7 linked regions of the Canis lupus familiaris genome follow. The protein of the gene in region 4 interacts with the protein of the main gene of each other region in a pairwise test. Links are inferred from orthologs where the notes say so. Each region holds a gene or a part of one and is shown on either strand. Other genes may lie near its edges. The genes, in order: SMYD1, NCK2, RNF8, HOMEZ, SH3RF2, DNTTIP1 and MED18.

Region 1 (4,016 bases), on a different chromosome or scaffold from region 4:
ATGGGTGTTCGTTTATTGTTATGCTTCATAATATTCATGTATACTATATATGTCATATATTGTTGGAAAGAATTTTCACTTAATGCAGTGCTCAACTAAAAATAAAATCTTTCCTCATGTTTGTGTTTGGAGGGTAGGGCAGAAAGCCTGGCTTGCAGTAACACGGATTAGAATGTGCCTCTTTTGTGAGTGACTCAATCCTACCTCCCCACTCAGGTTTCTTATCTACAGTGGCTGTGTCTCATGAAGTGGCAAAATGGAAGGACCCGATGGGCAAAGGTTTCCTTTGCTGCCTCTTTAGGCTATCCCAGGTATACCCAAAGAGTAGCCCCCTCATTTTTGCAGTGACAAACTTGGGAAAAATCACTTTTTAAAAGTATCTCTTTTTAATTTTTTTCAGTCAATTTAAAATCACCCCAATTTTTATAATAATAATAATAATAATAATAATAATAATAATTATACAACACTTTGTTAGCACTTTATCTGCAATGTATACTAAATTTGTTTTGTAATCATTCCTTCAAATTAATGATTTACTTACAGTAAGAAAAACATATAAACATCCCAAATATTCAGTCATAAAGAAGTGGTAGGAAAGCAGGCAGCCATTAAATACTATGTTTATGAAGAGGACATAGTAACAAAGAAGTAGCTAAATTATTAAATGTAAAACATCATAGTTTCTGTAATAAAATCCCAGCTGTGTAGTACAAATGAAACCTATGTTTTAAAATAAGCTGGAAGGAAATATACAACAACGTTTAGGGTTAGTACCTTTGTGTGAAAATATATTTTATTTCTTCCTTAGTTTTACTTTTATTTTTTTTATTTACTTATTTTTTTAGTTTTACTTTTAAAATGGAAGGAAAACCCACTCAACTCCAAACGCTCTTAAAAGGGATACTAATTGACTATATCGACTTTTAGGAAACTAGAGACACCAAAGGAAGTATTCTACATAAGGCAATGTGGCAACACAGTGACAGCACCAAGATCATTGTTCAGAGGTTTTGTTTTCTAACTTTTTAGTCTTAATTCTGAATCCCACTGACTCCTTAACTGCACTCACCTCCAGCCACAAAACATACACAAATAAACTAATAAAGTAAGACAAACTCCCTGTTGAAGAGGTATTACTGTCACCTCAGCCCCCTTACATTCCTCAGGTGACCGTCAGCCATATATTCCGTTCACTATCTTCTCCCTGAAGATCCTGGTAGGCAGGAAGAAATGAAAATCTGAATGCTGATCAAATTATCCTTGGAAAGCAGTGCCCATTCTCAGGATGGTGAGTACAGTGAGCCAAGCACAAAGCCTAGATTACTAGAGGCCATCTTGATTCAGACCACATCAATGTCAGGCAGGTCACCCCAACTTTGGGCTCAGAAAATATTCTTACAATTTAATCACTTGGCAAGGTGTTTTGTTTTGTTTGCTTTTTTAAAATAAAGCTTTAACACTAATTTAAAACTTTGGTAGTCAAGTGGGCAGGCATATGGTTGTTATATGGGAATATAAATTTAACAGAGCCACTTTGGAGAGCCTATTAAAATACAAACAGTACACTCTATGACACAATTCCTCTTCTAGCCATATGTCCTGTAGAATAATCACACATGTGTACAAGTAGACATTGTCAAGGATATAACTGCAGAAATGTTTGTTTTAATGAAAAGCTGGAAACCACCAAATGTCTCTCAATAGGGAAGTGGATAAATAAGTTTCCATGTATTTATTGGGTAGAATATCTACAGGAGTTAAAATAGGCAATCCACATAGCATATTGATCAACACAGATAGATCTACATGTGGGTAAAAGAAGTAGATCTTTGAGGATTTAAAAGAATTATCTGTAGACTTATAGTTCTCATAAGGATACATATCAAAAATATGTTTAGTGAAAAGAGCAAGTTCTAGAATGACATCTCAAATATGATGCCACTTCTGTTAAGAAAAAAAGACAAACTACAGCTATACATTGTGATATATGTATATAATAGTGCAAGAACATTCTAGAAGTAAACACATTAAAATCATAACACCTATTACCTCTGAGGAAAGACAGAGAAGATTGGGATTGGCAGAGGAAAAGATAAAAAGGGATTTCAGCCTCTTGGTAATATTCTAATTTTTCAAATGTAAATGGATTTCAGTGTTACTTGTGTATTTGCAATTGTTTTTTTAAAGTCTCAGCAATTACTTTATGCTTTAATATACTGATTATACTCAAGAAGCTAAAAACATGGAGCCTTCTGTAGGAAAATGTTTCCTATAGACCACACCCACCTTTCCATTTCCCTTCCCTCTGCCCTCCCCACACACAGCACACCCACTCAGCCACGTTCCACATTCAATATTCAATGTACTGTGAAAAAAGTGCCCCAAAGCCTTTGCTTATCTTTACAACCCTCCTAGGGACCAGAGTAAATCACATTAACAATGACTCTTTGCAGAAAAAAAAAGATACCAGAAAACAGCTGTCAGAAGTGCCATTTTGTTAAAAATGATCACATGGATTCTATCCCTTTCCCTTAGGATTTTGAGAGCAAAGGATTTCAGAGTTTGGCATGAGCCACACCAACAGAAAAGGTGGCAACACCCCACATTTCATACCTGTCAAAAACTACTGCGGAATAAGCCCGCTCAGCAAAGATGACATCCGCAGCCCAGAACTCCTTAGTGGCCTTCAGACCTCTGCCCTTGCCCTCAGAAGTGAAGACCTCCACGTTCTCCATTCTCCCTATTGTCATCTCAGAGTCCCTCAGGCAGCTCAGTGGATATATCACACTGAGCCAAGTCCCTTGTCCTTGCTATTTCAGCACCTTCAGCATCCCAAAGAGCAAGCCTATAAATGGACAAGCACCTCCCCTTCCCTACCCCCTCAGCTGCTGGGCCCTCACCTCCCCCTCTGCCACATTTCCTGGAGGTGGGAATGGGGCGGAAGAGAGGACAGTGATCTGACAAGGGTCTCATTCATCACCTAGCAAAACTGACAAGGCAGAAATGACCATGGGCTGGTGTGCCTCTCAGATTGGGTCTGAAAACTGAAAAGTTCCTTTGCAAGAAGCAGCTCAGTCCTGGATGGCAGTTGTGCTCAGCTTTAGTTGGAATAGGGAGCACTTGGTCAGTATGGTATTTTTAGCAGCCAGATGCCTCTGTCAATCCAAAGCAGACAGCTGAAATGGTCCAAGAGAAGAGGTGATGCTTGCTGCTCTGGGAACCTTCAGCTGTCAGGCTTCTACTTTCTCAAGTGTGATGGGCCCCTTGTCGCCTTCCCTCTCCTCCACAGGCAGACTGTTTGCAGAATACAGCAGATGCCAAACTGACGCCCTTGGCATATACATAACATTATTATTTAGGCTACCAGGGGCATTTCTCTTCTTCAGTACTACCTGGGGCTCCCACAGCACTCCCACCCAGGGCATGAAGGTCTGGGAGCTCCCTGATGATGCAGGTGTGCTGGATGCAGGCTGTATTTGGAGAAGTGGCAAGCTTTGGCAATGAAAAGCCTCATTTCTATCCTTTTATCAAGTCTCCCTTAAACATGTGTCTGCTGCCAGGAAAATACCAACATGCTCTGTCTTTCCTCTTTCCCAGGAATGAGGGCATTGGAGGGGCAATTCTAAAATGTCCATTGACCTAAATGCCACTGTTCTTTTTCTTTTTTCCTTTTAAGTAAACTCTACACCCAATGTGGAGCTTAGACTCACAACCTGGAGATCAAGAGTCACATGCTCTACTGACTGAGCTAGCCAGGTGCCCCTAAAAGCTACTCTTCTTGATTGCCAGACAGCTGTTACTAAAGTTGAAAAGACAAATACCATATGATTTCACCTACATGTGGAATCTAAAAAGCAAAACAACAAAACAAAGCAGAGACCCACAAATACAGAGAACATACTGGTGGCTGCCAGAGGGGAGAGGGGTGGGAGAATGGGCAAAAGGGGAGTAGGAGATACAGCTTCCAATTGTGGAATGAATATGTCACAGAGATGAAAGGTACAGCACAGGGA
Region 2 (4,193 bases), on a different chromosome or scaffold from region 4:
GTTCCAAACACCGAAAAACCTCCATCAACAGCCCCACCTCCCCAGCCAGTCAAGCCCATCTCTTCTCTGCGCGTCCGCTGGCGACCATTATTTTCATAAAACGCGGCACATGCCTGAATCCTGTTCACTCACCCACCCACCCAGGAACGCCTGGTAGGTGCGTTAAGAGAGTGTTCAGAAGCAAAGTTTAGATCTGTTTTGATTAAGTTATAGTAGCCCTGGTTAATTTCATTTTCAGTCGTTCTAAGACTTGCAGAGCAGGGCTGCTAACGATATACCAGCAGTGGTATGAAACACACCCGAATTACTCTCATTCCTACCCAAATCCCTTCCCAGAAGCCAGGGCCTGAACCAGGGAGGGCCTCTCCTACCTGCAGGTCTGGGGCTAGGCCGTGCCCGCTGGCCTCCGTGGTTCAGTTTCTGTTTGGTTCAACGGAAGGAGGGGGCCCAGCGCTGGGGCCTGCTCATCCCCTTATACAGACACAAAGTTGGCAGATTCAGCCTTAAACCTGTTGGCAAAATAAACGAAAACAAATAAAGGGGAAACTGCCAACCGCAATTGTCTGAAGTGACAGAGGCCTACTGTCCCCGTCCCTGCCCCGTCCCTGAAGCCCTTACAAAGCTCGTGAAGAGTCAGGTGCCCGGTGTTCACCAGCCGCCGCGCCCCGCATCCCCCGCAGACCTTCCAAGGCGATCGTTACTGTCCACGCACGAAGGCGTTTCTGCAAAGTAGACGCCTCCACGCAACGCCACACTCGGTGCGCTCACGGGGGAGGTGCCTTCAGTGCCTTAAAACCCAACCACACGCCGGTTTCTTCCAGAACCACTTGGTGGTTAGATCGCCCCGAACACACCGGGAGGCCAAGCGTCGTGAGAAACTTTCTTCCAGGTGCGGGAGGTCCTGCCCATGCGGGACGCGGCGCGGAGCCTGGCACCGTCCCCGGGCCCCGCGGCCCCGCGCCCAGGCGAGGGCCTCCCCCACGCGGCGTGACAGCAGCTTTGTGCGGGGTCAGGAGAGTTGCCATAAGCACAGCAAGTTCTCCGGGCCTCCCGCGGCCTCCCGCGGCCCCGCGAGCCGCGGCGCTTCCTCCCGGGGCCGCTCGTCCCCGCGCCCCCGCGCCCCCGGCCCCCGCCCCCGCGCGCCCCGGGTCCCCGGTCCCGGCAGCGCCGCCCTGCCCCCGCGCCCCCGCGCCCCCGCCCGGCCCGGCCCGGCCCGGCCCGCACAGGGGGGCCCGGAAGGCGGGCGCGGAGGTGCGCAGCCGGGAGCGGGGGGCAGGCCGCGGCGGGGCCCAGGGCGGTGCGGGGCGCCCAGGGCACGGCCCCCGCCCCCGCCCCGCCCCCGCCCCCGGGCGCGCGCCGCCCCCCGCGCGGCCCAACTTGGCGGCCCCCGCCCCGCGCCCGCCCGCCCGCCGGCACCGCCTTACCTCCTGCGCCGCCCGCCGAGCGGAGGGCAGCGGCGCGGGTCCCGGGGCGGCGGCCGCACCGCGCCCGCCCAGGCGCCGCTCTTTGTCTGCGCCGCTCCCTCCTCCCGCCGCGCGGCGGACGCTGCCGGCCCGGGCGGACCCCGCCGCCGCCGCCGCCGCCGCGAGCCTCCCGCCGCTCCCGCCTCCCGCCGCCCGCCGCCCGCTCGGCCGCGCGGCTCCGGCCTGACGATCCCGGCGGCGGCGGCGGCGACCCTCCCCCGGCGCTGCGCCCGCCCCTCCGCGCGCTTCCTCCTCCTCCTCCTCGCGCCGCTCCTCCCCGGCCGCGCGCGACCCCGCCCAGGGCCGGCCCGGGCGAGGGGGGCGGGGGGCGGGGGCCCGGCTCCCACCTGGGGCGGCGCGGGCGGGCGGCGGGCGGCGCGGGGACCCGGGGCTCGGCCGGGGCGCGCGGGGGGCGCGGGGGGCGCGGGGCGCGGGGAGGGCGGGGGTCCCGGCTGCCCGCTGCCCGCTGCCCGCTGCCGGCTGCCCGCGCGGGGACTGGGGCAGCGCTGGCGGCGAGCGGACGGCAGGGGAGAGAAAGGCAGCAACTTCCAGCCCCCAGTGACTGCCGCGCGGCCTTTCCATCCTCTTTTTGTTTGATTTTCTTATCGCGACGCTCTAGTTGTTTGGCGGCCGGCCCCCTCCCGGAAGCATTCCCACGGCACCCTCGGCAAGGCAGGCCTGGGGTCCATCAGAAAAGTGACTTACATAAAAATGTCACTTCCTCTCTGTAATTGCCTCTGGGCATTTTTATTTATTTGCCTTGTATCTATTTACTTTCCCAAACAGACACTTTTGTACTCCATCATTCCCGTCGGAAGCACTTCTTGAGAGCAGAGAGGACACGCGGCCCCGCGCCGCCCCGCCTGCGGCCCAGCCCCCCGCGCCCACCCGGCAGAACCTGGCAGGCGCTGCCAGCGGCTGGGCCCCTCCCCGCACCCCCCCCCCCCCCAGGCCTTGTCACTACTAGTGGGACTGGTCCGGTCACCTGGCCACACGCAGGGACTTACCTGTAAACAAATTCGGAAGATTAAAACCCTGGAGGAAGGGGAAACACAAGTTGTCCTCTAACAGGCACATGCATCCAGCTGCCTGTGCTCCAGTCTCCTTCCCACACGGCTTCCCAAAAGGAAACCCGACTATTCAAGTGATTCTGATTTCCTGGCGGAATAGCCTGGATCCATGTTAATGAGATTCTTTCTTAGGCTCCTGGCTTCTCATTACTATTAAGGCAATAATAACTTACCCAAGGTGACAAGGCTGAACCATTGATCCTCTGCCTTGTTCACAAAAGGAAGTATCCAGGTTGGGTAACCAGAACCAGTATACCTTTGAAGTCACAGTACAGCCTTTGACTATCTGCTTTTTCAACTGCGGAACCTTGCACAGGTGTTTCTTAACCGATCTAAAATTTAACAAATGGAGAGATCGTGTTTACCTAGCTCCCATGTCAGTCCCTGGCACCCTTCCTGCCTGTAGGGCACACTCTGTAGGTCACTAGCTGGGAGTAGGTACAGTGTACTGAGCAGGGACGGATCCAAGATCAGGGAATCTGGATAGCCTCCTTCTCTTTGCCCTTGGGGAAAGAGCTGCCTCAGTTCATCCTTTTGTCTTACTAATAAGGAAGGCAGAATTATAATAAATGGTCTGACCCAATTTTAAATTAGTTTACCCAAAATCCATATAATAACATTGACCCAGTTTTTAACTTGTCTGCTTTGTAAACCATCACTGAATCACCGTTCTTGAATTCCTCTTCCTTCTTCCTTCCTTTACAAAGGTAGAGTCCCCAAGGACATTCTCTATCTAAAATCCAATGTCGCTTTCTTAATCTTTATCCTATGCAGTCTTCAGAAGCACGTGGCATTTCTGCTATTACCTGAAATTCAGTTATTTTCATTTATCTAACACAGCTACCCTTCTGAACTTCCTACATCATTCTCTTGGAGAGCATATTGACCTCTAACAGTAATATTCCTGATGCAGAATTTGGCCCCTTGTTTTTATAATGATTTGTGCCTTTTTTGTTTTTTTTTAAGAGAGTTGATCATTTTTTTGTATGCCTCCAGTCTGGATGTTCAGTGATTAACTCTCAGATCTGTAGCCTTAGAGAATTCCCCAGATTGTCTGCAGTCTCTCTGGGCAGCTCATCATCTCTTCAATATCACCAGGTTCAGAATGAAATTTATCCTCTTCCCAAAGTAGCTCCTCCTCCCACGGTCTCAGGCTTGGCCAAGAATCCACCAGACATCTCAGCTCCTTGGAGAAACTTCACTGCAATCTCATTTCTTCCTTCCTTCCCTCTCTCCAAGATCTCCCCAAAGGCAGTGAGGAGAGAGTGCAAGATGACCTTGGGATCCCTCTCAGTCTAAATCCTCATGATTCTGAGTCCTGGTGCTGTTGAAACAGCTCTTTGTATCTTCTTTTCTCTTTCCAGTGACACCATCCAAATTTTTACATTGTTACTGATGACACTTATGAAACTTCTTTTATATGTGTGTGTGTGTGTATCTGTGTGTGTATAAAATAATTATATATAATATATATAATAGTATCATGTGTGAGTTACAGGTATACATATACAGAGTATTATCCTCATATACATATAAAAAAAATGGAAACAGTAAGTGAAGGAACTGGGGTCAGAACTAAACATACTTGACTTCGAAACTCGTGTTTTTTCCAGTACACCCCATTGCCTTCCAAGTAGCCTCCTGTTGCTCACTTTCACCC
Region 3 (3,549 bases), on a different chromosome or scaffold from region 4:
GGATTGTGGTTTTTTGTTTTTGTTTTTGTTTTGTTTTGTTTTGTTTTAAATACCATCAGGACCAAACTAAACAAATCTGCCAGCCACATGCAGTCCACAGGCCATCAGTTTGGAACCTTTGACATGAAACCAGTACCTGAGGCTGACTACATCTCTCAGCCTACCCTTCCCTATCCAGACAGGCCTGGAGCAGAATACAGAAAGGAGATTCAACTTTCATTTGGTTTGAGATCTTTATCTTTTGTTTAAATCACATAGTACCTTCTTTCTTAATTCCCAGAAAACCACCACATCTTTTTAAACCTAGCAATTTTTAAGTTTTCAGGGAACTTGACTTTAGTTAAAATGGGTCCAGACCTCTTTGCTGCCCAAAGCAGTGTACAGTCTTTACTTTGATTAGAAGAGATAAAAAAAAGATGAAAAATTAATCAGCCCCTCAGATATATCCTAAATGGCCTTTCCTTTCCCTTCAGGGGCTTCTGACACTTTTGGTCTGGGGATGAGGTGCTAAATTAGAAGCAAGAGAAAACACCTAGCATCCCCACCCCCAAAAGTGTGTCCACAAGTGGTCTGACCTCTTGGGGAAAGGAAAGGGAAATTGGACTGCAGACCTACAGGAGGAGGAGGTGGCAAGCATCATACAGCTTAGATCCCAATCAGCCCCCTGCCTCCAGGGAGTATAAATAACATCCTTATTTTGCAGAAGAGGCAGCTGCAAGGAATACAGGGGGCCTTATAAATTAATTCAGGCTTCCTGCCTCTATGGAGTGTTTTTCATGTCTGCTTTCATGTCCAGTGAGTTCTTGGTTGCTTGAGATGATTTTATATCACCTCTAAACTGCCATTGGTTATAGGATACATAAAGCCTCATTCTGGTCTTGGGTGGTTGGTGTGCTGAGTATGCTACCTTCAGTTTTTCTCATTTGGTTCTGGGAAAGGAGACAGAACCTGTGGTGCAAATGCAGAAGAAGTGGAGAGAGGAAAGAAAGGAAGACAGTGCCCTGTATCAGAAAGCAGTTCTGAGAAGCCATAACCCTTAGGGAAAGAGTTTTAGTATCATGTTGCTGTGCCAGGTTGAATTTTTTATTTAGAGTCCTGAATATTATTCCAAACAATTGCTCCCTGTCCTGTTTTGCATTCTCGTCGGTTCCCCCAAATGACAGGTGGGGTTGTGTGTCTTTTCAGGAAGAGAAGGAGAAGATGCAAGCCCAGAAGGAGGAAGTCCTTAGCCACGTGAATGATGTGCTAGAGAATGAGCTCCAGTGTATTATTTGCTCAGAATACTTCATTGAGGTAATTATAAGCAGTGGCTCATGCCTTTTTGTTCTCTCTACCGCACGGAGCCTCAGCTACACAGGTTCTGCCCTAGGGAAACATTCTGAAGCGATTTTTATTCTAGGAATCTGTTGTAGTTACTTGACTTCAAAGTGACCTCGAGAGATGGCCATATCTCATTTGTTTTTGTAGTTTTCTTCACCTTCACTGATCTTTTTCTCATTTTGCGTGATGTTGAGTGTTTATTTGGTACAATCACTATTTTTAGCTGCAGTAAAGCCTGTATTTCTTTGGTGTTGGGAGAAAACAGGGCCACATGGTATTAGATTTTTGAAGTATCGGTGTAAAGCTACTCTATAAAGCTTTTCTTTCTTTACTCTGAATGGACACAGTGCTGAGAGTAGGCAGCTCGTGCAGCCTGTGACGGGGTGGTAAATGTCACTGATGTGTGGTCACTTTGGGACTTCAGCAGCCAGGTGGAACATATTTCAGGGACTCTGAGGCTCCCTATGAAAACAAAACCTCTTCTAGGTTACCATTTGTCATCATGTCATATTTTTCCTTAGGACTTTATTTTTCACAAATTCTACCATTTGTGACCAGTTCATCATACGCCATTCATCTGAAACTCAAGTTAAATGACAGTGCTTTTCAGACTTCTTTAAAAAGGAAAATGCATGCACGCACTCTGTCCTCCTTTCTGGTAGTCTCTAGGGAGGTTGAGTGTATTAGCCTCCCGAGAAATCCCTCCTGGGCAGATCTGTTTCTTTTGCTGTGGATCAAATTGACACCATTTCCCCCATTGTTTCTAGTTATTTAATTCCCTACTTTGTAGAAACTCAGTCTGGCTTTGACAGGGCTCTGCTGGAGGAAGGCCAGGGAAGGGGGGTTCAGAAAGGTGATCAGTTAGCCCACCCAGAGCATCTCTACCGATGTAGAAGAGACAACCTGACCCATGCTTTGTTTACAGCAGACTGTCTGACCTTTTCCATGATCACCTTGTAAAGTCAGTATCGGAAAGAAGTTTTATTTTAATCAGGTTTTTAGTCATGTTTGTGAGGATTTATCTCACATAGTTAACAAAATAACTCCTAGTTGACTTTCTGTGCTCAACTTGGCATTTGAAAAATGCATAATTTCTGTTATTTTCCACTGCTATCCTTAAAAGCAGGAATGAAGACTTTTGAGCCTCAGAAAAACTTGTATTTTAGGAGATGTACATAAACAACAGTAATAAAGAGCATGGTTTTTATATTTTTAGAAGCAGATAGGGCAGGGTGCCTGGGTGGCTCAGTTGGTTAAATGTCTGACTCTTGTTCTGGCTCAAGTCATGCTCTTAAGATCAGGGGATCAAGCCCTGTGCTGGGTGCAGAGTCTGCTTCAGATTCTCTCTTCTTCTCCTTCCCTCCCTCTCACTTACTCACTCTCAAGTAAATAAATAAAATATTTTTTTAAAAAAAAGGATCTTGTTTAAAAGAAAAGTGGAAAGGACCCTGGCAGAAATCTGACCATTGGAGTTACTTAGAGGAGTTACTCAGATTTAGACTCCCTTCCGCTTTCCCTCTTCTCACAAGTGTATTTACTTGATTCAGTCACTGTCAGTGAACCCATTACATTTTTCCCATTTTTTCAGTTTCTTTTTTCCCAGCCTTTTTAGTTGTCTTTTAACATGTATTCTACTTTTTAAGTTTCTTTGAGTACAGATGATGCTTTCTACCATTCTATATACTGAATATTCAGAATGTGCTCCCCAGCGTCTATTAAAATTGAAGTTCTGGTTCACCATTAGCAGGCTATACATTTGTTTTCCATGAAAAAATTGGTAATGTATTTGTACCAAACATTCACACACTTACAAATCATACTTGTGTCCAGTGACATTTGTTTGCAAGGTAGCTAATCTGGCATTGGCAGTGTCATCTGAGTTGGTGGAACAAGACAGACAAATCAGCCTACATCTATGAACTTACCTTTGAGAAAGAAAATGAATCATCTAACTTAAAATTTCCTATCCCCAAGAACAATTTTAATACCATCTGTAAGCTTTCTAGATGGGATTAGAGTTAAATTTCCATTTGGCCTTGGCAGTGAACTCCTGTCCTAGCTTTGAGATCACAACTGTGCTGGGAAAGTAAGTATGATAGTTCTGATATGTGTGTTCACATTCCCATTGTAGGCTGTCACCTTGAACTGTGCCCACAGTTTCTGCTCCTACTGTATCAATGAATGGATGAAGCGGAAGGTAGAATGCCCCATTTGTCGGAAGGACATCAA
Region 4 (4,202 bases):
CTCCAGAACAGGGAGCAGAACTGGACAGGTTTAGGAGAGGAAAAATCCAAGGATAGAAGAAATCCACCTGCCCCTATTCTAGAGTGTGTGCTGAAGACTCCCTCTTATGTGGATTTCACTCTAAAACTTTAGAAGATGGAGTAGACTGTATGGGGATTGGAAGAGAGGAAGAGATCCAGGCTATCCGAGATGGGAGGGCCCCACCTTTAGCAAGATAACGAACCTTCCCAGCTCTTCCAGGGACTAGTGCTGAAGAATGGGGACTCATCATGCCATCCTCAATATAGAGATGTTAATCCCCCATATTGGTGGAAGTTCTCTCTTCCTTTGCATGACTTAGATATTAGCAGGATTAACCAAGAGGCACATTTACCCTATAGCTAAAGAAGCTGAAGTTTCAGGGCCATCTCTTGCACAGACCTCTTCCAAAGCACTGAAGGAGCCCCAAGAACATGTTAACATGGTCATAGTTTTTTGTAAAACTTGAAAAAAATATTTCAACTGCAATTGACTAAGATTGATGTCTCTTTCCTTTCTGACTTCCCCTCCATTATACTTCTTTTGTCAAGTGGCAGTGGAGGGGCCATAGGCATTTTGGGATTGGTTAAGGAAATTAAGTTGGGGATACATTTGCTTTGGGTTGAGTAGGTCTATCACTGTGGTTTGCAGTTACTTCTGTAAATAGTTTAATAGTAAGCATAGTGTTAGGGGCTGAACTGTGTTGTCCACCCCCCCACACACACACACACACACTCCATATTCTTACTGTGAAGTACTAAGTCTCGATACCTTGGAATATAACTGTATTTGGAAACAAGGTCTATAAAGAGGTAGTTAAGTTAAACTGAGGTCTTCAGGGTGAGTCCTAATCCAATATGACTGGTATCTTTAGAATAGGAAATTTGGACACAGACACGAACATAGGAACGACCATGGGAACACATAGGGAGATGGGTATCTATAAGCCAAGGAGAGGAACCTCAGAATGAAGTCAACCCTGTGGATACCTTGACCTCAGACTTCTACCCTCTACAATTGTAAGGGAATTTCTGGCTAAAGCCACCCAGTCTGTTGTATTTTTGTATGGCAGCTCTAGCTGACTAATACATCTACATTAATACGAATGTCAACGATCCAGAGCATATTAGTCATTACAAATTTGAAATGCTCTGAAATTTTATATCACATACATCAAGGAAATTTGATAGTGTTTTTTTCAAGTTTGATAAAAATCTGAAAAAAATTGTGATTTTTTTTAATTTTTTTTTAAGATTTTATTTATTTATTCATAGATACAGAGAGAGAGAGAGGCAGAGGGAGAAGCAGACATCAGAAGCAGACAGAGGGAGAAGCAGGCATCATACAGAGAGCCTGACGTGGGACTCGATCCAGGGTCTCGATCCAGGGTCTCCAGGATCACGCCCTGGGCTGCAGGCGGCGCTAAACCGCTGCGCCACCAGGGCTGCCCAAAATTGTGATATTCTTATCACTTATAAAGTGTGAAGGTGAAAATTTTCTAAATCACTAAGAATAAAAAAAAGTGTCATGTAGAAGACTTTTCTATACTCCTTAGAGAAAACATTCTCATCATAGAAGCTATCAAGAGCATGCACTCAGAAATAAAATTGTAAAAAAAAAAAAAAATGCTTGTCAAGTAGGTTTTAAAATTTTATTTTTCTTGATTTTATGATATTGTATTTGTCAGCTCTTTAAAATTTTTATCTTTTCTCATTCTAAACTATTTTCACTTTTGTGACTAATGTGTTTTTCTTTTAAAAGTCTCCAAAAAGGGGCATCTGGGTGGCTCAGTGGTTGAGCATCTGCCTTTGGCTCAGGGTGTGATCTCGGTGTCCTGGGATAGAGTCCTGCATTGGACTCCCCATGGGGAGCCTGTTTCTCCCTCTGCCTATGTCTCAGCCTCTGTGTCTCATGAATAAGTTTTTTAAAAAGCCCCAAAAATTGTGCTTCAGGCACCCCAAAACTAGCATCTACCCCTGGGACAACCCAAATGGATATGGGGAGTTTCTGCCTCACTTAGGGGAAACATGCTCCACCATTTTGTGCCCGGTCTCCTAAGAAATCCAAAAGCTGAGGGCTGACCAATCAGAACTGCAACTATTAAAAGATTTGGGATAGCTAAAGCTGCAGTGAAGGAATTTGTGGAAGAATTTCAGACAGACGTAGCACTAAACTGTGAGAAGCCAGGAAAGACATTAGGGCCACGGAGGGACTTTAGGCAATAAGCCACAGAGAAAAACCCTGGGAAGCCCCCCACTTACCTCTCTTTGGGTGTCTGCTCCTCATGCTGACTCTACCCTTCAGCATATCTAGCTTCACAACGTAAGTGTGGGTGCTCTGTAGTGACATCACAACTTGGCCATTATGATGAAATTAGGAGAATCTGATTATTCTCAGGTTAGGGCTTTCCTATTAGAAACATTGTCTCATTTGTGGGTAACTGAATTCTCTCATTGTTCAGGTGATGTGGAAGTCAAAATTATGTTAGAACCTGATCTTTTTCAAGGATGCCTCACTTTAATATTTATTGTTCCACTCTGGATTAGACAGAGGTCTTTGCTTTTCCTCTTCATATTTCTTGTGCTTTACTTTAGGGTTGCCCTTGATAGAGAAAAGGGCTTTGCTCTGCCCTTCAGTGCTTAAGAAGAATGTAACTTAGATGGTCCCCCGACACAAGGGGAAACTCGGGGATTTTATCCTTTAACTGTACCAGGAATTGGTGCTGGGTGCTAGGGAACTAGAGCTGGGCCCCCTGATAACTTTCCTGCCACTACCCAAATGGTGGGATTCTATTGGGGTGTCTTATACCAGTGCTGCCCAGCTCCTCTGTATCTTCTGCCCATCCAACTTTTGTGTAGCAATAGGACACCAATGGACAGGGCTTTTAGGAAATGAGATGACCAAGAAATGGGAAATAGGGAAGAGGAATCTTGCCGCTGGGTCTCTTGCCACCCCCCCCCCCCGAAAAAATCAATTTATCTCAGTATCTTATAATATACTTTCATATTTTACCTTTATTTCAAACATGAGGCCTCTTAACCAGAAGGGAGGGCAGTTGCATGAGGAAGCTGAAGTGAGGCTCAGCGCTAGTGGGATTGGGGCCCAGAGAACAGGGCTGCGCTGTGAAGGGGATGAGGACACTCTGGGACGGCCTGATGAGAACTGTGGTTTGGGGGGATTCACATAGCAAACATGCAATTCCTCTCCAGGTTAGCTAGTCAATGGGTGAGTTATTCAGTCTTTTTTTTTTTTTTTTTAGCAACTTCACTGTTCCTTAGCAATATCACCCAAAGTGCCAAGGCTTGGGAGAACAGAGAAAACTACAAGTGCCTTTTGTTTCTTTTTATGCCGGTATAGAAAAGGGAGTGGAAACTAGCAGCAGAAAATGAAACATTTGTGATATTATCCTTGCCATGAAAAACCCCAGGTCTGATTGTGCAGCAGCCTGTTTTCTAGCCTGGGAGTGGGATATGGTCAGGAAGGCTGGGGTTAAGCCCCATCTCCAGCTGCACTAACAAATTCTCTGACCTTGCTGAAGTCACTCCATCTCCGGACCTGTGTTCTCATCTGTACTGAAGCAGGGACCCCAGTGATCTCTAAAGATAAGCTTTTCCAGGTCTCTGATTATATGACTTGCAGATTGCAGGGATCCAGAGTTGCTCCAGAGAAACACAGGTGTTAGAAGGGAAGGCGGGTGTTAGACTGAAAAGTTCAGGGGTTAGGACTTACTATGAAGAGAAATAATGAGCTGCATTCATAAAGAGAAACAAGGTACAAGAAGAAGGCTCGTAGGTGTTAAGACAGGTTGGTGTAGGGAAACATCTGAGGTCTAGATGAGAGAAATGGGCAATGTTCCAGCTGTGTTGCTTCAAGGGTTCAAGCCCCTAACCAGGGTAATGTTTTCTCTTACAGTGCTGTCTCGTCCACAGCTGACGTATTATATGTTAAATTGTTCCTGTTCATATAGTCACCAGCCTTTAGGGGAAAGGACTCATCCCAATGCCTAATATGTAACACATCTCTAAAGATTGCTTCAAACTTCTAGTATTTCCCATTCCAGATTAGACCACCAGCTTACCCCCAGGCCCTGGGGCAGCTCTATTTGGGAAGAACTAGAAGATTCAGGTGTTGGCTCTCTAAAGCTGAGAATGGGGGGTGGGTGAGCCATGGTACTTCCTACAGAG
Region 5 (3,549 bases), on a different chromosome or scaffold from region 4:
ACAATAATGCTCAGTATTTCAAAATATGGAGGACAGTGAGGTTATCTAGTTTGAGGCAATCTGAATCAAATCTCATTTCTGGGAGTGGTGGAATAAAAATGTTTGACAAAATAAAAGACCTTTCCTAAGTTTCCATACCAGATCTACTTCTAGTATCTGGTGTACTTAGCATAAGCAGCAAAGAGTGAAAATCACCCCAACTTTGGCCTTTGTGAGAGAATTCGAATGTGTAAGGAATAATAAATATGGAATACACAGAATTAAAGTAATCTAGACTTCAGTAAAAGTGTTGTTATTGGACAGCTCGGGTGGCTTAGCAGTTTAGTGCCGCCTTCAGCCCAGGGCCTGATCCTGGAGATCAAGTCTCAAGTCCGGCTCCCTGCATGGAGCCTGCTTCTCCCTCCCTCCCTCCCTCTCTCTCTCTCTCTCTCTCTCTCTCTGTCTCTCATGAATAAATAAATAAAATCTTTAAAAAAAGTGTTATTACTTGCACATGGTGAGAAATTATCTGATAAATAAAAGAGGCAAAAAAATCTTAGGGTAATTAATATGCTTGGAAAATAATATCTTGTAAGAGGTTATTTATATATAAAGGCATAATTATGTTATTGTGTGTTTCTGGAGTGCTTTGAATACAATGTTTACAATTAAATAGAATGTTGCAAAGAGTAGAATTAGGTACTCAGAACTTAGTCAGCAAGAATGTCCTCACAAATACATGGTAAAGATAGTAAGAGCTCTATTTTGCCCAGCACAGTCAAACTGTATTTGTAAATTTCTGTCCACTTATCTGTCTCTTCTACTACTCTGCCTAAGGGCAGAGACTGTGACTTTTTCATGCTGCATCCCCCAGGGCCTGTGAAGAAGAGGTGCTCAAAAGTGACTGTAGAAAAAAAAAAAAAAAAAAAAAAAAAAAAAAAAAAAAAAAGTGACTGTAGAATGAATGAATGAAGATGTGAATACTTATTTTTGCAATTGTAATATAAAAGGTTTAAGGATTTTCATCAAACTCTTACTAGTAGATTTCTTTGGCAACTTCCATTTAGTTTTGAATGGTACAAACACACAGTACATATATATGCACACGTACATACATAGAAACATTTATGTGTAAAATAGGTACACATTTTAAAAATCAGCAAGTATTAAACAAGTCCAGGTTCTGCTACAGTCTCTGTGTAGTTGCTGGTGACCTCTACGGCTGCCCAGAATCTTACCTTGAGGAAGGTCAGGCAGTCCTGGTTCTCACTCTTGTCTTTGTCTCGTAGGTCGAAGTTGTAGAGGGCCCGGCACAGTGGGGGTGGCTGGGGAAGTTGTTTGATGACTTCCACGGAGCTGGCTGGGAAGATGCCACTGACTCCATTGATCTCCCCCTGGTACCAGTTCTCATCCAGCTGTCTCCGGAGAAGGATGACATCTCCCTTATTAAACCTCAGGTCACCAGGATTCTGCCCTCGGTAGTTGCATAAGGCCTTTGCTCGAGGCACCTGCAGTGTGGCACAGACCAATGAAATATGTCCTTAGTTTATATGCTCAGGGGACAGAAGATAGAACATTGATAGCTGATTACTGAGCACTTCCTTTTTTTTTTTTTTTTTAAAGATTCTATTTATTCATGAGAAGCACAGAGAGAGACAGAGAGGCAGAGATATAGGCAGAGGGAGAAGCAGGCTCTATGCAGTGAGCCCCATGTGGGACTTGATCCCGGGACCCTGGGATCATGCCCTGGGCTGAAGGCAGACGCTCAACTGCTGAGCCACCCAGGTGTCCCAAATGAGCACTTCCTATGTGCTAAGGGTTGGATGCTTATTACTCCCTTTCCTAAGTAGGGCAACTGAGGCACAGAGTGGTTTAGTACCTTGTCTAAGAAGACACAGCAGGGAAATAGTGGATTTCCTAGTTTCAGAGTCCCTGTTCTTAATCAATATGCAGGGAACAGGATTTTGGACTTGACTCCATAACTATGTGAACTTGAGTGAGTCAGTGACTCTCTCTGGAGCCTGCATACTAATTGGGAGAATTCTGGCTCTACCACTTTCTTCTCATGTGACTATGGTCAAGTCACTTAATCTTTCATAAATCGTATCCGTCTATAAAATGGGGTAAAAATAGAATATGTACTTCATAAGGATAGTCTTGAAGACTAAATGTTTTTAAGATCTTATTTATTTGAGAGATAGAGTGAGGGAGTGAGAGAGAGCATGAGTGGAGAGAGAGGGGCAAAGGGAGAGGAAGAAGGAGACTTCTCTCTGAGCAGGGAGCCCGACACAGGGCTTGATCCAGGGACTCTGGGATCATGACCTGAGCTGAAGGCAGACACTTAACTGACTGAGCCACTAGGTGCCCCTGAAGACTAAATATTTATAATGATGCATTTAGCATATTGCTTGATAAATAGTATGGGCTCAATAAATGACATCTCTTATAATCATCATCTGTAAGGAAAGGTTAATGATACCAGTTTTACCTATTCCTCGGTGTTGATGGGGAAAAAAACTGAGGTGAAAAGTCCCAGAAAATTCAAAGTGCTATATGAGGTGCACTGGGCTGCCTCAGTTGGAGAAGAATGCAACTCTTGATCTCGGGGTTGTGAGTTCAAGCTCCACACTGGGTGTAGAAATTACTTAAATCAATAAATAAGTTAATATAAAAAATAGGAAAGAAAGAGCTATATGCGAGTGATGTAACATATTTTGTCTTCAGTCTCCTCTACAAAGTGTAAACCTCATGAGTGTTTGGATCATTAGGAAGCACTGAGACAAAGAATTAGTCAGAAATCAGTCATCACTTAAAAAAAAACTCAGCTAAAGAACTATCATTTGTTAAATTAGTTGTCTATCTAAATAATTGTTTCAATCAAGTGCATCTTTTTTTTTCCTAATTGAAACAGGTTTCTACATGCAGAAACAGTTTCACTTTGGTCTTGCTTGAAGTCAGTGTGGCAAACTGAAAGTTCTCCTAACTTATGTTTACTAGCCCTTCAGTGTCACCTGGGTTTGGATTTTACTTTGTGCTTTCCTCAGCAGTGGGGTGAAGTAGTCCCCTCTCTCGGGGGTAGTCTTGCTATTCATAAGGGGATGTAAGCAGGCAGTATAGTATTTCAGTCTGCGAGAAACTTCCGAGTCTGCGATGTTCATTTGAAAAGGAGTATCAAGCAGTTTAGGGGTAGAGACAAGCCCTGAACAGTCCCTTGCTGATGGGATGATAAAGCAGTGTTTTTCTGCTGGTCCCTGGTCCCTGGATAGAGTAAGGAGGGCCCAGGGAGATAGAAAACCACAGGTACACAGCTCATCCTAGGGAAACGAGTGGACAAGTGAGCGAAGACATGTGTACTAGGAGTCTTAGCATGGTGTTGTGGATATCATAAATGGAATTGGTTGAAAAATTATGGAAAATCCTAAGTCATTAAAATTATGACACTGATCTATAATTAATAAAATTGCCAATTACTCATAATATATACTAAATATAACAGAAGAGGTTAAAAAGTTATGTTTTTATTATAAATGAGAACTAGGCTTTCATTGTAAATATATATGTATTTTTTTT
Region 6 (3,549 bases), on a different chromosome or scaffold from region 4:
GCCCGACGTGGGATTCGATCCCTGGTCTCCAGGATCGCGCCCTGGGCCAAAGGCAGGCGCCAAACCGCTGCGCCACCCAGGGATCCCTAGCCTTTGAGTTTAAATAATTATTTCACTTCCCAAGTAATATAAAAAAATTTGAAAGTATGCATTTTTTAAAAATTTATTTTATTTATTTTTAAAAGATTTTATTTATTCATGAAAGACAGAGCGAGAGAGAGAGGCAGAGACACAGACAGAGGGAGAAGCAGGCTCCATGCAGGGAGCCCAATGTGGGACTCAATCCCGGGTCTCCAGGATCATACCCTGGGCTGTAGGCGGCGCCAAACTGCTGCGCCACCAGGGCTGCCCTCTTTTCTTCTTCTTCTTCTTCTTTTTTTTTTTTTTTTTAAGATTTTATTTATTTATTCATGAAAGACACAGAGAGAGAGGCAGAGACACAGGCAGAGAGAGAAGCAGGCTCCATGCAGGAAGCCTGATGTGGGATCACGCCCTGAGCCGAGCCAAAGGCAGACACTCAGCCGCTGAGCCACCCAGACACCCCAAAAGTATGCATTTTCTAACTCAGTTTCAATCTTATTTCCAGGGATTTCTGATTCCTGCAGAATCACCCACACATGTTCATATGAGATGTTTGGGACAGACAGCATTTTTTGTAATAGCAAAACTGCTGGAAAAACATAAATATCCACTAATAGGGGAGTATTGAAAAATTATGGAATATCTATGCTATGAATTCTTATTTGTTAGAAATAAAATGAGGGAGATTAAATTTAATAACATGGACAAATCTCTAAGTGGTCAGCTTTATAGTAGTCAGCTTACTTTTTCTATAAAGGGCCAGCTAGTAAATATTTTAGGTTTTGCTGGCCATATACATCTTTGTCACATATCCTTCATTTTAATTTTTATTATTGTTTTTAAAGATTTTATTAAAAATATTTTATTTATTTGAGAGAGAGAGAGAGTGCACACAGAGGCAGAATGAGAGAAAGAAGCAGACTCCCCCTTGAGCAGGGAGCCTGATGCGGGGCTCAATCCCAGAATCTTGGGATCATGACCTAAGCTGAAGGGAGATGCTTAACTGACTGAGTCACCCAGGTGCCCCAAGGTTTTATTTTTAAGTAACTTCTACACCCAACATAGGCCTTGAACTTACAACCCCAAGATCAAGAGTGCTCCACCAACTGAGCCAGCCAGGCACTCCCACTTTAAGTTTTTAAAATCACTTTTTTTGTCTTAGATTTTATATATTCATGAGAGAGAGAGAGAGAGAGAGAGAGAGAGAAAGAGAGAAAGAGAGAGGCAGAGACCCAGGCAGAGGGAGAAGCAGGATCCATGCAAGGAGCCCGATGTGGGACTTGATCCCGGATCCAGGATGGGGATGGGGTAACTGGGTGACAAGCATTAAGGAGGCACGTGATGTAATGAGCACTGGGTGTTATATACAACTAATGAATCACTGAACTCTATCTCTGAAACTAATAATACACTATATGTTAACTAAACAATTAAAAAAAAAAAAAAAAAGAAAAAGAAATGTGAAGCCACTTGCCCAAGGTCATACAGCTGCTAAGTAGTGGAACCAGGACTGAAACCATGGTCTTAACCACTATGCTCCTGGAATTCCAAGGAGGTCCCAGAGCACATACACTGGGGGGGAACGATGCAGGAAGGGTTTTAGAAGAGGTGGATCTTGCAGAAGGGGCAGAGAGGGGAGGAAGGTCATCAGAGGGAATAGCAGGAGTTGAAGACACTTGAAGGAAAATGAAGTAGCACGTAGGCCACAGTGTCTAGGTGCTGAGGATCTCAGGGTGTAAGACTGAAGAAGTAGAAGCAGCAGGTCTGCCCTTCAAAGAATCTTAACTTGCACAGAATGTATTGGACAGAGCTGTAATTCTGGAACTCCAAGCCTTAGGTATACATGCAAAAATGCATATCTTGAACACACATGCACTATTTTTCCAATATATTTGGATACTTTTGTGATTAAAAAAACACAAATTCGGGCAGCCCGGGTGGCTCAGCGGTTTAGCACCGCCTTCAGACAAGGGCCCGATCCTGGGGACCCGGGATCAAGCCCCACATCGGCCTCCCTGCATGGAGCCTGCTTCTCCCTCTGCCTATGTCTCTGCCTCTCTCTGTGTTTCTCATGAATAAATAAATAAAATCTTAAAAAAAAAAACAAAAAACCCACTTCATTGAAGAGGGTAACTGATATCATGTTCCCTATTATTTTCTAAATAGTAGAGACCAAAGTACCTCTCTTTGAGAAGGGTTAGAACTGCTGCTTGAATAAGGTAATGGTTAAGAGCTCAGGCTTTGCTGAAGACAGACCAAGACTGAGTCTACTCACCATGTACTGGCTGAAAACTTTGGGCAAGTCATTTAGCCTTGTGTGTGTGTGTGTGTGTGTGTGTGTGTGTGTGTGTTTTAATTTGTAAAACAATAACAGCCATCCCTATTTTACAGGATAGCTCCCAGAGGTAATGCAAGTGCAGCAGGTGAAATGCTGTTTGGTCTGCAACAAGCACATAAGGAAAGTAGTTGTTGTTTTTTTAGATTTTATTCATTTGAGAGAGAGTGAGAGCATAAGCCTGGTGAGGGGCAGAGGGAGCAGCAGACTTCCTGCTGAGCAGGGAGCCTGATACTGGTCTTGGTCCTGGGATCTGGGATCATGACCTGACCTGAAGGCAGATGCTTAACTGCCTGAGACACCCAGGAAAGTAGTTGTTATTGAGGGGCAGAGGTGTTCATTAAATTACAAGAGGTGAAGGTTAAGGGCAGAGGGGTAACTGGAACCCAGAAGTCCTGACTCCCAGATCAGTATTTGTTCCCAGAATCTCTGTGCCCTCCAGAACTCCCAACACGCACACTGCAATGGCCTGCCTGCCTCCCAGCTTTCACTTACCTTAAAGAGGTGCGGGTGCTTGATGTAGATTCTCCCTCTGGTGCCCCCCATCCCCAGGGCCCTGAAAAGGAATGGAGGAGTGGTAAGGATTCCAGCAGCTACAGTCCTATGGGTGAGCCCCTGGGGTGCCCCCTCCCTCAGTGCCAAAGCTCTTAAACTTACTTGTTGGCTCGAGATCCCAACACAAAGGTGGTAGATTCATTCAGCCGGGCTGGGTCCCACTATGCAAAAGACAGAGATTGATGAGGATGAGGCTGACCTGGTGGGCAGGATAGAAATACTCTTCTCCTGCCTTCTCCTACCACCATCCATCCTCATCTACTATTCCAAACCGCTGATTCAAGAAACCAAGTACTGACAATAAAGACGTAAGATATAGTCTCTGGTCTGGGGCCGCAGACGTAATGTATAACCTTTTTTTTTTTTTTTTAAGATTGTATTTATTCATTCATGAGAGCCAGAGAGAGCCAGAGACATAGGCAGAGGGAGAAGCAGGCTTCTTGAGGGAAGCCTGATGTGGAACTCAATCCTGAGACCCTGGGATCATGACCCGAGCCAAAGGCAGATGCTCAACTACTGAGCCATCCAGGTGCCCTGTATATATAATTATACCAGCATGAGACAGGTGGGGATATAGG
Region 7 (4,322 bases), on a different chromosome or scaffold from region 4:
TCAGTATATCAGTCTCCATTTTCTTTATGTTTAAACTTTTTAAAATATATTTTTTATGTTTTTATTAATGACACAGAGAGAGGCAGAGACATAGGCAGAGGATGAAGCAGAGAGCTCCCTGCAGAGAACTCGATGTGGGACTTGATCCTGGAACTCAGGATCACACCCTGAGCCGAAGGCAGATACTCAACTGCTGAGCCACCCAGATGTTCCTATGTTTGAATTTTTAAATAATAAAACAAATTTAAAAAAAAGATAACTACTGGGGATGCCTGGTAGGTCCCCTGCAGCAGGGACTCTATCATATTAATGGTGCCTCCAGTGACAGGCATAATGCTGACTGGAGGTGCCTTCATGGTGTCTGATTAAGTTGCAAACAACAGAACTGGTTTCAGAATCTCCAGTCAAGCAAAGCATAAGAAACACCTGGAGAAGTGTTACACTGTTACCAGGTTCAGTTGCTAGAGCATGCAACCTTTTTTTTTTTTTAAAGATTTGATAGAGAGCCCTGCACAGGTGGAGACGGGCAGATGGAGGGGGAGGGAAACAGACTCCCCACTGAGGGCAGAGCCTGACATGGGGCTTGATCCCAGACCCTGAGATCAGGACCTAAGCCAAAGTTAATAGTTGGATGCTCCCCCAACTGAGCCACCCAGGTGTCCTGAGCACACAACTCTTAATGTACAGGTCCTGAGTTCAAGCCCTATGCCAGGCATAAAGTTTACTTTAAAAAAAAAAAAAAAAAGATAATAAAAAAAATAAAAAGCTGACTACCTATTGGTATGAGAAGAGATAGTGCTAGTCAGAAGTAGAAACAATGGAATAAGTAAAAGGTTACTAAAGTAGTTCAAATGAGGGATGGTAAACCAGGGTGTGGTACTGTAGGTGGAGAGAATATTTAAAAGATACATTGGAAGTAAAATGAATAGGATTTAGAGATATGCTAGATGTGGGGGTAAAGTGAAAAACAGATTGACTCCTAAATGCTTGGTTCATGCAACTGGTGAATGACAGTGGCACTTACTGGGTTGGGAAAGACTGAAAAGTAGCTTGAGGAGTGAAAATTAATAATGTTGTTCATATTAAGTTACTAAATGGATGATCTGAATTAAAGTCTAACCTCTTCCACTAACATTAAATGACCTCCTGAAAATCACTGCCCTCTCTGGATCTTGAGTTTTCTCATCTGGGCAAGGTACTTTACCTGTTTCCTGATCTATAAAATGGGGCTAATGACAGTATCATAGAATTACTATATGATCCAGTAATCCCACTTCTGGGCATATATCGAAAATTCAAAGCAGGATCTTGAAGAGATATTTGCACACTCACGTTTGCTGCAGCATTATTCATGATAACCAAAAGGTGAAAGCAACCCAAATGACAAATAAATAAATTTTTAAAAATGTAAATAAATAAATTATAAATAAACAGATTATACACACAATGAAATGTTATTCAGCTTTAAAAAGGGGGATCCCGTCAGATGCTACAATAAGGATGAACCTTGAGGACATTATGCTAAGCAAAACAAGCCAGTCAGAAAAAGACAAGCACTGTATGATTCCATTCATCTAAGATATCAAAAGTAGCCAAAATCAGAAACAAAGTCAAAAAGTGGTTGCCAAGAGCTGAGGGAGGGGAAAGGAGTAATTAGTGTTTAATGGGTATAGACTTTCAGTTCTGCAAGATGAAAAAGTTCCTAGAGATCAGTTATACAACAATGTGAATATACTTAACACTACTGAACTGTATGTACACTTAATATTATGTGTTGGTGACCATAATTAACATTTAAAGATTTTTTAAAAGTTGTTGTCTTATTGGGTGCCAGAAATTATGCAGGCTGCCTTTGTGTAACAGCCTCTCATCCCCACAGTGCTGATCAGAAAGAGGAAAACAGGTCATCCAAGTTGCCTGGTTTACTTACCCTGCAGCAGGTACTCCATCATATTAATGGTGCCTCCAGTGACAGGCATCATGGTGACTGGCGGTGCCTCCATGGTGTCTGATTGAGCTGAAGACAACAGAACTGGTTTCGGACTCTCCAGTCAAGTAAAGCACAATAAACACCTGGAGAAGTGTTACATCGTTAATACATGAGCGGGGCACAGAAACAATAGATCTGTTTGTGTCACTGGCCTCGATATGAAAAGATTCATTCAACCATTCAAATTTTTTGAGTAACTGCTATAGGCCAGCTTCAGGAACTGATGATACAGAAATATACAAAGGATACTTGGTCATGGAGTTACAGCACAACCTTTCCAGTCTCAGTGTCTAAACGTTTTCTGTGTAATTTTGAGGAAGTCATCAAACCTGGAAGTCAATGTCTTCCTTATAAAATGGGGCCAACGATATTTAACCAACCAAGACTTTGTGGCTCGGACATGTAAAAACATTCAGAACTGAAAGGTTGTCTGTTAAAAGATTGTCTACTCTTCAATTTATAGATGAAGATAATTGAGTCTCGGAGAGGGGCCCAAGGATACACAGCAAGTCGGTGGCGGAGCTTGAATCAGACTGAAATCTAGGCGTTCCGTCTCTCTGAAAACGCCTTTCCAAGAGAGCGAGGGGGGAAGCGTGAAATTCTTTTAAAAGGATGGTTTAGGTCCTCTTAAGGCAGCATCAAAGACACGTGCCCACTTACACTAGAAACACACCTCCGAGCGCGCTCTGGTCTCTTCTCGCAGAGTGGGTAATGTATCCTCTCCAGCACCTCCGAGCAGCATTTAAATAACTAGCCCCCAGCCCTAAAGTTAAAGCCCTCCAGGTAGTGCAACAACTTCTTTTCTTTCCACTTCCGGCAGGAAGCGGACGTCACGCAAATCTTGACACTGGTGCTCCGCGACGTAAGGGTGCCGAGAAGGGATTAAAAAAAAACCAAACCGCGCTCTTTGCAGCCTCGCAAACAGAAGCGCATGCGCGAGACGCAGGGCCGCGGTATGGAAGATGGCGGCCTGCCTTGGAGGCTTCCCGGGGATTTACGGCGGGGGAGGGGAGGCGCTTGACGTCATTTGGCGTCCTCTAGGAAAATATTTTTTCAAGCTCGACGATCTGGAATGATATTGTCTAGGAAATCTCTTGAAACTGACGGGGGCAAAAGAGAGCCCAGGGAAGGGAGCTGCGGTAAACAGACTTACAAAATAGACTTTTTTTGTTGGGTACCTGACGACCAAGAGACACCTTTTATTGCAAAGCATAATGTTCTGAACAATTAGGGAGCTCAGCAATACACTTAATATTTGTTCACTTCACTGTATATATTTTACTTAATTTGAAAATATAGGAAGATAAATTCAATGAATGTTTGTTGCACGCTGCTAATATTTGTCAAGCATATAAGGTGCAAAGTGAGGACTAGAATGAAGTGAAAGAGGTACCCTCGGAGTGAAAAAAATAAAGGGACACCAGAAACTCGGTAGCTAAGATAAATACTATTTCAATGCGGTATTTTACAAGTTTAAGGCAATAAATAATGAACAAAATACCAAAACTTTAAGTTTGATCCTCAAAGTAGCCCTATGAGCCAAGTACAATGATTACGGTAATTTTACTGATGGGGAAACCCAAGCAACGAGTTGTTAAATAACATGCAAAGGAATGGCTGCAATACCAATATAAGCTGTTGACTTCAGAGCCCTCTCACTTAAAAAATTTTTTTTTAATTTATTCATCACACACACACATACACACACACACACACACACACACAGGCAGAGGGAGAAGCAGGCTCCATGCAGAAGCCCAACATGGGACTCGATCCCAGGACTCCAGGATCACGCCCTGGGCCAAAGGCAGGCCCTAAACCGCTGAGCCACCCAGGGATCCCCAGAGCCCTCTCTTAATTACTGTACTGGACTTACAGCTCTAGTTCCCCTGCTGTAATCCACTATCTCCCATTCATTAATTTTTAAAATATTGAACATTTCTTGAAGGTCTAGACTGTTCTCGACATCTTGTTAGGTGTTAACTCCATCTGTATCCTCAAATGAGTTTACAGGCATGTTGTGGGAATCAGAGGGTTAAACTAAGGAGTCTGTACTATGAAGTTTGATTCAATAGGAAAATGAGATATCAACAGCTCATCCCCTTTGGAAGCAAGCAGGATGCTTGGTCCATCTTGGGGGCATCAAGGAAGGATTCCTGGAAAAGGTAATCAATGCCCAGAGTAACTTGAAGGGTCAATAGGTGTTAGATAAAGAAGGGAGAAAAGGGAATTTCAGGTGAAGGGAACAGTATGTTCAAAAGGATACTGAGTTAAATAGAATTAGGGTATAGAATCTGAGGTCAGGGACTGAAATAAATGAGTCTGGGGAAGG

The links.
Region 1: the proteins of HOMEZ (region 4) and SMYD1 interact in binary tests that used the Homo sapiens proteins (3 or more experiments, as listed by UniProt). The link is inferred for Canis lupus familiaris from reciprocal best matches to the Homo sapiens genes HOMEZ and SMYD1.
Region 2: the proteins of HOMEZ (region 4) and NCK2 interact in binary tests that used the Homo sapiens proteins (3 or more experiments, as listed by UniProt). The two-hybrid records come from large-scale screens. The link is inferred for Canis lupus familiaris from reciprocal best matches to the Homo sapiens genes HOMEZ and NCK2.
Region 3: the proteins of HOMEZ (region 4) and RNF8 interact in binary tests that used the Homo sapiens proteins (3 or more experiments, as listed by UniProt). The two-hybrid records come from large-scale screens. The link is inferred for Canis lupus familiaris from reciprocal best matches to the Homo sapiens genes HOMEZ and RNF8.
Region 5: the proteins of HOMEZ (region 4) and SH3RF2 interact in a two-hybrid assay, tested with the Homo sapiens proteins (2 studies listed by BioGRID). The two-hybrid records come from large-scale screens. The link is inferred for Canis lupus familiaris from reciprocal best matches to the Homo sapiens genes HOMEZ and SH3RF2.
Region 6: the proteins of HOMEZ (region 4) and DNTTIP1 interact in binary tests that used the Homo sapiens proteins (3 or more experiments, as listed by UniProt). The two-hybrid records come from large-scale screens. The link is inferred for Canis lupus familiaris from reciprocal best matches to the Homo sapiens genes HOMEZ and DNTTIP1.
Region 7: the proteins of HOMEZ (region 4) and MED18 interact in binary tests that used the Homo sapiens proteins (3 or more experiments, as listed by UniProt). The two-hybrid records come from large-scale screens. The link is inferred for Canis lupus familiaris from reciprocal best matches to the Homo sapiens genes HOMEZ and MED18.

The regions. Positions count from the first base shown.
Region 1 is NC_049238.1:38,578,802-38,582,817, forward strand, and holds the start of SMYD1 (histone-lysine N-methyltransferase SMYD1), read right to left. Parts: upstream 2,833-4,016; 5' UTR 2,754-2,832; coding exon 2,617-2,753; intron 1-2,616. UniProt on the Homo sapiens protein: Methylates histone H3 at 'Lys-4' (H3K4me), seems able to perform both mono-, di-, and trimethylation. Acts as a transcriptional repressor. Essential for cardiomyocyte differentiation and cardiac morphogenesis.
Region 2 is NC_049231.1:38,784,213-38,788,405, forward strand, and holds the start of NCK2 (cytoplasmic protein NCK2), read right to left. Parts: upstream 2,817-4,193; 5' UTR 2,707-2,816; intron 2,586-2,706; exon of another isoform or gene 2,471-2,585; intron 1,492-2,470; exon of another isoform or gene 1,425-1,491; intron 1,003-1,424; exon of another isoform or gene 619-1,002; intron 510-618; 5' UTR 372-509; intron 1-371. UniProt on the Homo sapiens protein: Adapter protein which associates with tyrosine-phosphorylated growth factor receptors or their cellular substrates. Maintains low levels of EIF2S1 phosphorylation by promoting its dephosphorylation by PP1.
Region 3 is NC_049233.1:6,586,577-6,590,125, forward strand, and holds part of RNF8 (E3 ubiquitin-protein ligase RNF8), read left to right. Parts: intron 1-1,185; coding exon 1,186-1,293; intron 1,294-3,451; coding exon 3,452-3,549. UniProt on the Homo sapiens protein: E3 ubiquitin-protein ligase that plays a key role in DNA damage signaling via 2 distinct roles: by mediating the 'Lys-63'-linked ubiquitination of histones H2A and H2AX and promoting the recruitment of DNA repair proteins at double-strand breaks (DSBs) sites, and by catalyzing 'Lys-48'-linked ubiquitination to remove target proteins from DNA damage sites.
Region 4 is NC_049229.1:3,678,721-3,682,922, forward strand, and holds the start of HOMEZ (homeobox and leucine zipper protein Homez), read right to left. Parts: upstream 2,817-4,202; 5' UTR 2,368-2,816; coding exon 2,280-2,367; intron 1-2,279. UniProt on the Homo sapiens protein: May function as a transcriptional regulator.
Region 5 is NC_049223.1:39,611,263-39,614,811, reverse strand, and holds part of SH3RF2 (E3 ubiquitin-protein ligase SH3RF2), read right to left. Parts: intron 1,488-3,549; coding exon 1,218-1,487; intron 1-1,217. UniProt on the Homo sapiens protein: Has E3 ubiquitin-protein ligase activity. Acts as an anti-apoptotic regulator of the JNK pathway by ubiquitinating and promoting the degradation of SH3RF1, a scaffold protein that is required for pro-apoptotic JNK activation.
Region 6 is NC_049245.1:33,743,152-33,746,700, reverse strand, and holds part of DNTTIP1 (deoxynucleotidyltransferase terminal-interacting protein 1), read right to left. Parts: intron 3,133-3,549; coding exon 3,074-3,132; intron 2,973-3,073; coding exon 2,912-2,972; intron 1-2,911. UniProt on the Homo sapiens protein: Increases DNTT terminal deoxynucleotidyltransferase activity (in vitro). Also acts as a transcriptional regulator, binding to the consensus sequence 5'-GNTGCATG-3' following an AT-tract.
Region 7 is NC_049223.1:71,511,441-71,515,762, forward strand, and holds the start of MED18 (mediator of RNA polymerase II transcription subunit 18), read right to left. Parts: upstream 2,830-4,322; 5' UTR 2,651-2,829; intron 2,074-2,650; 5' UTR 2,004-2,073; coding exon 1,931-2,003; intron 1-1,930. UniProt on the Homo sapiens protein: Component of the Mediator complex, a coactivator involved in the regulated transcription of nearly all RNA polymerase II-dependent genes.